Arabidopsis thaliana: one gene and its partners. The protein of the gene in region 3 interacts with the protein of the main gene of each other region in a pairwise test. Each region holds a gene or a part of one and is shown on either strand. Other genes may lie near its edges. The genes, in order: AGL36, NAC041 and AGL98.

Region 1 (3,761 bases), 6.6 Mb from region 3:
CCACATGATTTTATAAATTATAATTTTACAAATAAAAAAAAAGACAAAAATCATATTTATGTATTAAACTCTTGATTTTACCCAAATTATGCATATATTTTCTAAATAAAAATAATTTTCATAAATAATTTTTTATATGTCATTATTAATAAATAAATACATGTAGTCATATTAATGTATTAAACTCTTGATTTTACCCTTATATGTAGTCCATTTTTAAAAATACTCTTTCTCTTGAGCAAAACAAACAAATTACCCACATCTAATGAGAAACATGTAATTTATGAACTGAAATTTTCCCGCCGAATTTATTTTTTCCCTGACAAAAAAAAATTCTACCAAAATATTTTTTTTTCCGCCAAATTTTTTTCCCGCCATTTTTTTTTCTCTGTAACAAATGTTTTTCCAGCTAAAAACATGCATTTAAAAATCTTTGTAAAGGTTTTTAAAAGCTTTGTAAATTTGTTAAAAACCCTTGTAAATCATTTTAAAACCTATTAAAATCTTTATAAAAATTTTAAATATATATGTAAATACTTTAAAAACCCGTTTTAAAACCTTTTGTTTTACATTTTAAAACCTTTTACAATAATTTTAAAAGATTTACAAGAGTGTTTAAAAGATTTACAAGGATTTTAAAAACATTTGTAAATGTTGTAAAAATCCTTGTTAAATCCTTTAAAACCCTTGAAAACTATTTAAAAACCATATAAAAATCTTTTAAAAACCCTTAATAATTTTTGAACCATTTTAAACTCTTATGAACCCCTTACAAAATGTTTTAAAAACCCTTGTAAACCATTAAAAATCTTTTAAAATCTCATGTAAACCCTTTAATAATTTTTGAACCATTTTAAAGTTCTAGAAAATTATTTTAAAAATCTTTGTTAATCTTTAAAAACACATGTAAATCTTTTAAAACCCTTTTCAAATCTTTTAAAATCACTTGTAAATCTTTTAAAACCCTATAAAAATCTTTTAAAATCCTTTGTAAATCTTTTTAAAACCTTTTACACTTTATAAAAATCTCTTAAAATCCCTTATAAATATTTTAAAACCCTTTTACACATTTTAAAAATCTATTAAAATCCATTGTAAATCTATTTCCTGCGAAATTTGTTTTTTGCGGGAAAAATCTTTTTTAAAACAAATATTATGGCAGAAAATGTTTTTTTGAAATTTTTTGGCGGAAAATTTTTTTCAGAATATTATAGGCGGGAAAAATCAATATTTCATTTTTTTACCTAAAACATATTTTAAATAGGGGTAAATAGTCATTAAAAATTAAAAAAGGGTATAAATGAAAATAACAAATAAGAAAGGGCAATACTGAAAAGGGATTGTGTTGAAAGGGCATTCATACCAATTATTCAAAGTTTTTGGCGTTTCTGTGAGATGTACTTTGCATATTTTCCAAGTTGTTTGCCCATTCTAAAAATTTATTTGTATGATTCAGAGTACATCTTTAAATTACTGTAGATAACAAACTTTCTGAAATTTACTTTAGATAACAAACTTTAGAGTAATTTCTAGCTTACCACAATTCTATATACATTGACAATATATTACTGTATTTTAAAAGTACAATCACTTAAAACTATTGCAAAACTTCATATTTTAAGAACAAAGTAAGCTAGAAATTATTCTTAGTAAAAAGAAACAATGAGAGTAAGAGAAATTAATTCGCCAAAATAAAAACAAAACTTAGAAATACAAAATATTATATTACATGCCCCCTCGTATTACATGGATAGATTTTTTTCTTTTTTTTGTCATCAGATATTATTTAGGATCAGACGTACCAAACTTTGGATAAGAAAAAATATTTTTATATAGATAATAATGAATTACCTGGTCAATTAATTGATAAGAGATTTCCTGGATGTTATTTAGAATTAATTAGTCCACCAAAGTGATAAGAATCCTAGTGTCTATAGAATCACCTTTCTTTGCTATATAAACATCCTTTGAGCAAACAAATTAAACAAACCACACAAAACAAAAAAAAAAAACAAATTGATGGGGATGAAGAAGGTGAAGCTATCTTTGATAGCTAATGAAAGATCAAGGAAAACATCCTTCATAAAGAGGAAAGACGGGATTTTTAAGAAACTCCACGAGTTGTCAACTCTGTGTGGTGTCCAAGCTTGTGCTCTCATCTACAGTCCATTCATACCGGTTCCAGAGTCATGGCCGTCAAGGGAAGGTGCTAAAAAGGTGGCTTCAAGGTTTCTGGAGATGCCGCCGACAGCCCGAACCAAGAAGATGATGGATCAAGAGACTTACCTTATGGAGAGGATTACCAAAGCAAAAGAGCAACTAAAGAACCTGGCTGCTGAGAACCGAGAGTTACAGGTTAGACGATTTATGTTTGATTGTGTTGAAGGCAAAATGTCCCAGTATCATTATGATGCAAAAGACCTTCAAGATTTGCAATCTTGTATAAATCTATATCTCGATCAGCTTAACGGAAGGATCGAGTCCATTAAAGAAAATGGTGAGTCGTTGTTGTCTTCCGTCTCTCCTTTTCCTACTAGAATTGGTGTTGACGAAATTGGTGATGAGTCATTTTCCGACTCTCCTATTCATGCTACAACTGGGGTTGTAGATACTCTTAATGCTACCAATCCTCATGTTCTTACGGGCGATATGACTCCTTTTCTTGATGCGGACGCAACTGCGGTAACTGCTTCCAGTAGATTTTTTGATCATATTCCATATGAAAATATGAATATGAGTCAAAATCTGCATGAACCGTTTCAACACCTTGTTCCTACTAACGTTTGTGATTTTTTTCAAAATCAGAATATGAATCAGGTTCAATACCAGGCTCCTAATAATCTGTTTAATCAGATTCAACGAGAATTCTACAACATAAATTTGAATCTGAATTTGAATCTGAATTCGAATCAGTATCTGAATCAACAACAATCATTCATGAATCCGATGGTGGAACAACATATGAATCATGTTGGAGGGCGTGAAAGCATTCCTTTCGTGGACGGAAACTGCTACAACTACCATCAACTACCATCCAATCAACTACCAGCCGTTGATCATGCTTCCACCAGTTACATGCCTTCCACCACCGGTGTCTATGATCCTTACATCAACAATAATCTCTAATCACAAAAGAGGGAGAAGAACTAGTCTAAGTGTTCAATTGTTTGTATTTGTGTTTTCTTCATTTCGAAAGACAAAAACTAATGTTGTTTATTAATAATGGTTAAAGGATCTCTTTTTAACTTAATTATGTATTTTGATTATTAAGTAATGTTTTGCCCCCAAAAAAAGATTATTAAGTAATGTATTTGCTCACCGTAGTGTGGGAAACTTTAATTGTAGAATTTTATTTCGAAAATTTAAGATGTGACTGGTACAATATTTAGACGGAAATTTTCAATTGAATTCTTTTAGGACCCATACATAGAGAATAATTGTTTTCCCCAGCAATTTAAAGTAAGAACTATTATTCTTTGAATCAATTATCGATTTGCCATTTTTTGGGATGGTATCTGTGGATTTTGTCCTTTTCTGAATAGTTTGTAGATTTTGCCTTTTTCACACTACGAAAATATGATTTAACATGTGTTTTATTCGTTATGTTTTGGTTTAGTCGGTTGTGCTTGTTCTTAGGATTTAATATTTTGTATAAACTACGTATTTTTACCAAAAAAATCGGAAATACATACTTTTTTTAGTGTTAGAAAATGGCATATCCATAAGATTTTAGTAAAAATTACAATTTCAAAAAAATTCTA
Region 2 (3,761 bases), on a different chromosome or scaffold from region 3:
TAATATTCCTTTATTTGATTTTTTGGAATTTTAAATGAGATGATGTTTTCGACTTCCATTGCAAAATTATCTAGTTTATTATTGATTTTGGGTGATTTATATTTGATAAATTATTTTATATTGGTTGAATCGGATATAGATAGATAATCAATGATGTTTTAGTTAAAAATAAACAAAAATTAATTGATTTGTTAATTTGTGCCAAAACTAAAATATTAATTTACCTTTAAACCAATTTATTCTAACCTTTTACTAATTTATTTCAACCAGACATGAGAGTTTTCTTATCAATGTTGTGATCTTTTACAGTATGGGTAAAAAAGTGTTGTCCAAAAACTTAGAAACAACCCAACAATTGAAAGAAATAATCATTATGCATTTTCTATTTTTAACATATAATGCTTTTTCAGATATCAAAATAAATGAATTTGTGTTGTTTGGGTATATGATTTTTTCTATAAAAAAATGTTCCACATTTTTTTTTTGTAAGAGTGATCTTTAATGTAGTGTTAGTCTCTGATTTGATTGCTTGAATTGTTAGCTAGATGGTTGGTCCTTGTTGTTAATTGACACTCATTAACAAATTAGATATTTGATCAACCAGTTTTCAATATTTGATACAATTAGATAAGCTATAAAATATGGCTATTAATTACCAAAACCAAGAAAGACTCCTGGATTGCATAATTAACTTTGGAAACAATCATAATCTAATTTATTAAAGTTAATAGAAGTTGTTCCCAAGTTTGTTAATCTATAGAAACAAACAAAACTTATTTTCCCGATAACTGATTTCTTGACGATTATCATTAGAAGATGTGTGAGTTAAAGCACTTGAGCAAACAGACGACGAAGAAGTCGAAGAAGAGCAACAACAACAAGTAGCAGGAGTCAAATTCAAATCACAGCATCTTCTTCTCCTTCTCTTTTTCTTCGTGTCTTTTCTCATAAAGTCATAAAATATGGGACAAGTACTCTTCTTGTTCTCCTCCTCACGTTCTCTCTCTGTCTCTGTCTCTTTCTCATTCTCCACCTCTTCTTTCTCATCTTCTTTCCTCTTACTATTACTATTGCTTCTCTTCTTCAAGAACACTCTACACAAAACCCAATTCATGTTCTGTCCCTTTTAAAAACACATTAAAATACACTTTTTAGCCAAGTTTTTATCCAACTGATTGATGAATCTAATTTATTTGAATTTGATTCTCTTACATATAATGAATCTTGTTGTGAATCAACAAGACGATATTCATGAAGAACCCAGTTAGTTCTTGTTCCGTTTGGTGGTTTACCTTTGTAGAAAACAAGAGTTTTCTTCATCCCCACGACAAGCTTCTTCTTACCGATCTGCTTATCGAGACCAGTCGCTTTCCAATAACCCGAACCGGTAGACCGGTTCGACCGGTTTCCGTTCGGGTATTTAGCTTCCCTCGTGCTAAAAAAATACATCTCTGATTCACAATCACCTGTGATCATCATGCATATACACCATCAAATATTGAATTTGAATGAAACCCTAGAGTAGATTTTTCAATTTCTGTACCTGGTAAATCCCATGGATCGGATTTACAAACATCGGTTTCCGGTATTACAGAAGCTGGTAAGGGTAAACCGGTTACTTTTCGACGTAAATATTGAACCACTAGCTCTTCATCGGTCGGGTGAAATCGGAACCCTGGTGGTAATCTAAGTACTCCTCTGTTTTTAATAGAGCTCCTCTTCTCCATCTATCTTTTTAATGTTTGAACCGTAGAAAGAGAGACGAAAGAAGATGAGAGATTATTGAAAATGGAGAGGTAAAGTTTGGCTTATTTTATAGCAATGATAATGGGGTTGATATCGTATAATATTCGAAATACTTTTTCTTTTGAGCCATGTCGTAATGAATTGAATTTGGTAGCTTTACTATTTTAGAGTAGGGTATTGCTCTCTTTTTAATAATGTTTTTGGCACATAAAAAATTGTTTAAACTAAAACAAATACTATAACATTTTCTTTAAAGATGTGATCACCATATATATAACAAGACCTCATGAGTTTTTTTTTTTTTTTTTTTTTTGTATCAATGTTAAGTACTTATACTATTTTCACAAGTTTTTTACCGAAGTTACAGCGAAATACAAATTACATAAAAGATCAAAAACTAAGTAAAACAACAAAACTACATCACAACACAAACACCAGGGAGTACAAGCAAAAACTCAACGAGTAGAGTCTCCGGAAAAAAACATTACTGATTCTGAACCGCTCGGACATCTTGTCCTGAGCTATCTTGTCCTGAGACACTAATGTTTGCTAACCAACGACTTCCACCCTTGAATCACATAGTGTGAGGTAAACAAATTAGAGATCATGTTCATTCATTATGCATCAACAATTAACACACCTCATAACACATAGATAACACGACTAATATATTAGTAATTTTTAGTATTAACGATCGTTAACAATATTATTAGAAGATTAAGTTAGTTTGTAGTTATGGCATATGTCGTATATGTGCTACGACCAATCGTAGACAAAGATGCGTATGCAACTGGATTTCGATTATTCAATTAAAAGAGATGTGATTTCATGGGGTCCATGAAAGTGACAAATGCCCTGCAGATTCCTCTACTCCATCGCATGGTCCAATCATCTTTTCCTAATCCAGATAATAAATTACATAACCCTGTTATTTGGTAAACACTTTTAGCGTATATGTTTATATTTTTTTCTTTCTTCTTTTTGTCAACCATTATAAGTATGGGTTTCTAAACCAACACGTTATTGAATCTATATAGTCTTACGTAAAACGAAAGAAAAGAAATTCCAAAACGGTTGGCTTCCTACAACAATTTATTTATAGGAGATGAAATTGAATTGACGTGCTTTCATCAAGTCTTTCCATTTCTGTTCTACGACTTGCTAATATACCTAGCTACATGGCATTTTAATTGTGTTATAGTTTTTATATTTGATTGGTGAATGAATCTATAAAAAGAAAAGCTCATGTTATACTCGCAAAACGTCTTTTAAGAGATGTGATTAATTCAGGAGCTCAAACAAGTTGCCAGGTATTTTTTTTGATAAAGGGTATAACAAATTGTCAAGTTGCAATAACTTAAGAGAGCAAAAGTGGTAATGTTGTAGAAGAACTTAACAAGCTAAACAAGTAAAAGATGCAATTAGGTAAATGCGTAAATCGCAAGGAGAATGGAGAAGTCAAGAGGGCATTTAGTTGCTTCTAAAGCGACTTTCAATTGCTTTGTCCCACTATAGATCTCCTCCACATTAACTTCATTTGTCTCACACACTTTTCCGTACACACCTCCTAATCTCACAAAAGACTAAATTGCCTCTAATACAATTCAAAGACCACGAATGAGAAAATCACATACTAAGTGGTACAAAAGAAGCGTGATTAGTGCGGAACATAAAGAATTACTCGTACGAATGACGACTATAACAAAACAGCAGCGGATATAGAAACTAAGTTTTGTTGTGTTCAAACATAATTTATTTATCAACAAGTGAATACTATATAATTTAACATACGGTTAATGTAGTTGAATCGTATCGTACATTAGTGTACAACTTTTATGTAGAATACCAAATACAATGGGTTAGTTTGGCATTAAAGGTAGGGCCCAAAGGAGGGACAATGGGAGACTTCAACAAATGCCGGTTGCGTGAGGAGAAGGTAAAGGTCATGTCTCTTGTCCAAATAATACAATGTGGATTTGTCGTCAACGAAATCCATATCGACTTTTTTTTTTTTT
Region 3 (3,361 bases):
GATGATGCATGAATTTCGTCTCCCTTCTCTCTCTGACTCTCATCACTCATCATATCCCAATTACAATAACAAGAAGCAACACCTTAACAATAACAACAACAGCAAGGAGCTTCCTTCAAACGTAAGTTATCGGATTTGCCCTAACTTGCTTTACCCGCAACAAAGGTTAGGTTACCAAACAAATTAGAATCGATCTTTTTCATTTTGTAGGATGCTTGGGCGATATGTAGAATATTTAAGAAGACAAATGCAGTATCCTCACAAAGATCAATCCCACAATCTTGGGTTTATCCAACGATTCCTGACAACAATCAACAGTCACACAACAACACCGCAACTCTCTTAGCTTCATCAGACGTTCTCAGCCACATATCAACAAGACAAAACTTTATTCCTTCTCCAGTCAACGAACCCGCAAGCTTCACAGAATCAGCTGCTTCTTACTTCGCGTCTCAGATGCTCGGAGTCACGTACAATACAGCCAGAAACAACGGAACAGGGGATGCTCTGTTTCTGAGAAACAATGGAACAGGGGATGCTCTGGTTCTGAGCAACAATGAGAATAACTACTTCAACAACTTGACTGGAGGGTTGACTCATGAGGTTCCGAATGTAAGATCAATGGTGATGGAGGAGACTACGGGGAGTGAGATGTCGGCGACGTCGTATTCCACTAACAATTAAGATCATAGTACTATTAACACTTGAATTAGTGTAGACGTTGATCATCGCTAATATGTATTAATTTTTCTTGTCTTACTATAAACGTTGCTTCTCTTTTGGTTTCTTGAAGGCCGAAAAGAAAAAGAAAAAAACAAAGACTTGCTTCGAACATGCAACTTCTCCTTAATTTGGTATAGATAATTGTAATGGCTTTTTATATTAATCATTAAGTCTCATTCTTGAATGACACTAGTTTTTTTGGATTTTTCAGAGCCATATTTCATATTCTTTATGAAGAGGATACAATGCTTTCTTTTTTTTTTTTGAAAATAAGTAAAGAAAATATGAATTTGCAAAATCTTTTATTTATGTCAATAATGGCAAAGTAATGGATTAAAAAGGTACACGGAGTTATAAATTATATTTCTCATTTTTTAATGGAGGGTTCTAAATTTTATTTAAAATGGATGTATTTTGGTCGATTTTTGTTAGATTGTATTGTCACAAATTTTTAGCAAATCCAATAATTATATTATTAATTAAGAGCTATTTACATAATGATACAAAGGGTATCTGAAATATATATGGACAAGCAAATCTTTCTTTTTTATAGATCTTATTAATTAAAAGAGAGTGAGAGTAGAAAAAAAAAACTATTTCCTTTTTATCAGTCCTTAACGGCTAAATTACACAAATCTATGCAAAAGATATGGAAATCAAATCTTCACAAGCTTTGTTTTACCGATTAGAAGAGTGAAAAAAAAATAAAAAATCTAACTTTAAGGACCAAATTTTCTATAAGTATATCGCTATTTCACAAAGTTGTCTCTGACTTTCATATTCTTCATCATCTTCTTAGGGTTTCCTAAACCTAATTCGTAGTTTCACTCTCTCAATTTCATTCGTCTTCGTGCTTTCTCTTCACTTTGAACGTGAAACAAAAAATAGAGAGATTGTCTTCGAAATCAACAAGAAGATGGCCATTCGATCTTTACCTTCTTCCTCAGGCTGTTCCAATTCCTCTTCGTCTTCTTCTTATTCACTCGCTTCAACAAGTTTGAGCAATAGACTTGAGACCATCTTCAGGAAAGCTTCAGAGCTTTGCACTCTCTGTGATATCGAAGCATGCGTCATCTATTACGGACCAGACGGAGAACTCAAGACATGGCCTCCGGAGCGAGAGAAAGTGGAAGACATTGCTCTCAGGTATAGTCAACTAAACGAAGCCTTGAGACGCAAGAAGAGCGTTACTCTTTATGACTTCCTGAACAAGAAGAAGAACAAGACGAACTTGGAGAAGAAAGCAAAGATAAAGGACAACGACTTGAAAAGACTTGTCTGAAGAACGTGAATGTTTTAAAGTATCCAATTGCTGATCATTACTCTCCTGACCAAATTTCTCAACTGATTCAGTCCTTAGAACCTCATGTCTCTAAAGTCCGAGAAAGGATTCGTTTTGTTGAGTCGCAGAAACATAAGGAGACAAAACCGGATCATCAGAGTTTAGCATCATCCTCTCTGAATAATCAGACCCAATCTTTGAACCCTAGCCAGTTTTCGCTGTTTATGTATAACCATGGAGATAATATTCTGTCTCAGATCCCAGTCTCTGCATCAAATTTCAATCAGGATTATTTCTCAGCGTTACTTGAACAATCTGAGTTGAAGAGTCAGATAATGAAGCAGGAGGTTTGTGGTTATGAGCAGAACATGTGCATGAGTAACAATGGAGATGCTACGCTCTCTCAAATCCCACTCTCTGCATCAAATTTCAATCAAGAGTTCTCAGCCTTACTACAAGAAGAATCTGGCTTGATGCAACAGGAGCTTTGTAATTATGATCAGAACATGTTTATGAACAACAACAACTTCCAACATTCTTTTGTCTCAAACACACAAGATCACTCTGCTCCTGCGGTACAAGAATCTGTGAACAACAACTATGGGTTGATGCCGCATGTTCCTTGTGGTTATGATCAGAACCTGTTTACGAGTGATATTACCAACAACAACCTTCTTATCGACAACTCGATGTTTCTCTGATAACAAAGCTCATTCAAGAGAGTGTGAGACTGTTTTTTCATCTTCTCGTAAGAATTTTAATATGTTGTTGATGTTTATTTTGCTAAGTATTGCATAACGCATAATGTTTTCTTGTATCAAGCTATTTTACTATGTGAACATCCAATTTATCAAGTGAATATATATTCCACTGCATAAACATGTTACCAATTACTTTGCATATCGTTTCGTGAAAATATCAAACCAAATCTCCCATTTTAAGAATAGCACATAAGGATTACGGACAATAGAAGAACATAATCATAACTTAAAGCTTTATGAAGAAGACTTAAAAACATATATATCTTCTGACTGACTATTTTTCACTTGGAAGCTTCAGTTGACTCGTTTGTGTTGACTTGTATCGGGCATTGAGATACATATGGTTTCAGCTGTAAAATCCAAATAGATATACATCAGCAGAGCAGCTAAATCACACAACAAAGGTTAATGTAATTAAGTAAGCATTCCCATTTCAGGTCCCTAACTCAAAAACCTTACAACAAGAACAAACCAAGATAATTATCAGGATGAACCTAAGGAGATTCTACCAACAAGACTTGTAAGAAGATTTCTCACTAATGTTTGGTTCTCAAGTTTCAATTAAGATGCAAGGTACATACTAGAAGTATCAAAG

The links.
Region 1: the proteins of AGL98 (region 3) and AGL36 interact in a two-hybrid assay, tested with the Arabidopsis thaliana proteins (one large-scale study listed by BioGRID).
Region 2: the proteins of AGL98 (region 3) and NAC041 interact in a two-hybrid assay, tested with the Arabidopsis thaliana proteins (one large-scale study listed by BioGRID).

The regions. Positions count from the first base shown.
Region 1 is NC_003076.8:9,341,760-9,345,520, forward strand, and holds AGL36 (AGAMOUS-like 36), read left to right. Parts: upstream 1-2,025; coding exon 2,026-3,126; 3' UTR 3,127-3,252; downstream 3,253-3,761. UniProt on the Arabidopsis thaliana protein: Probable transcription factor.
Region 2 is NC_003071.7:14,179,241-14,183,001, reverse strand, and holds NAC041 (NAC domain containing protein 41), read right to left. Parts: upstream 2,025-3,761; 5' UTR 1,728-2,024; coding exon 1,544-1,727; exon of another isoform or gene 1,480-1,543; coding exon of another isoform or gene 1,467-1,479; coding exon 1,213-1,466; intron 1,124-1,212; coding exon 755-1,123; 3' UTR 563-754; downstream 1-562. UniProt on the Arabidopsis thaliana protein: Transcription activator of the mannan synthase CSLA9. Recognizes and binds to DNA-specific sequence of CSLA9 promoter.
Region 3 is NC_003076.8:15,936,623-15,939,983, reverse strand, and holds AGL98 (AGAMOUS-like 98), read left to right. Parts: upstream 1-1,525; 5' UTR 1,526-1,639; coding exon 1,640-1,999; intron 2,000-2,076; coding exon 2,077-2,706; downstream 2,707-3,361. Other genes in the region: NAC094 (NAC domain containing protein 94), read left to right, coding at 1-121, 211-684; AT5G39800 (Mitochondrial ribosomal protein L27), read right to left, coding at 3,048-3,116.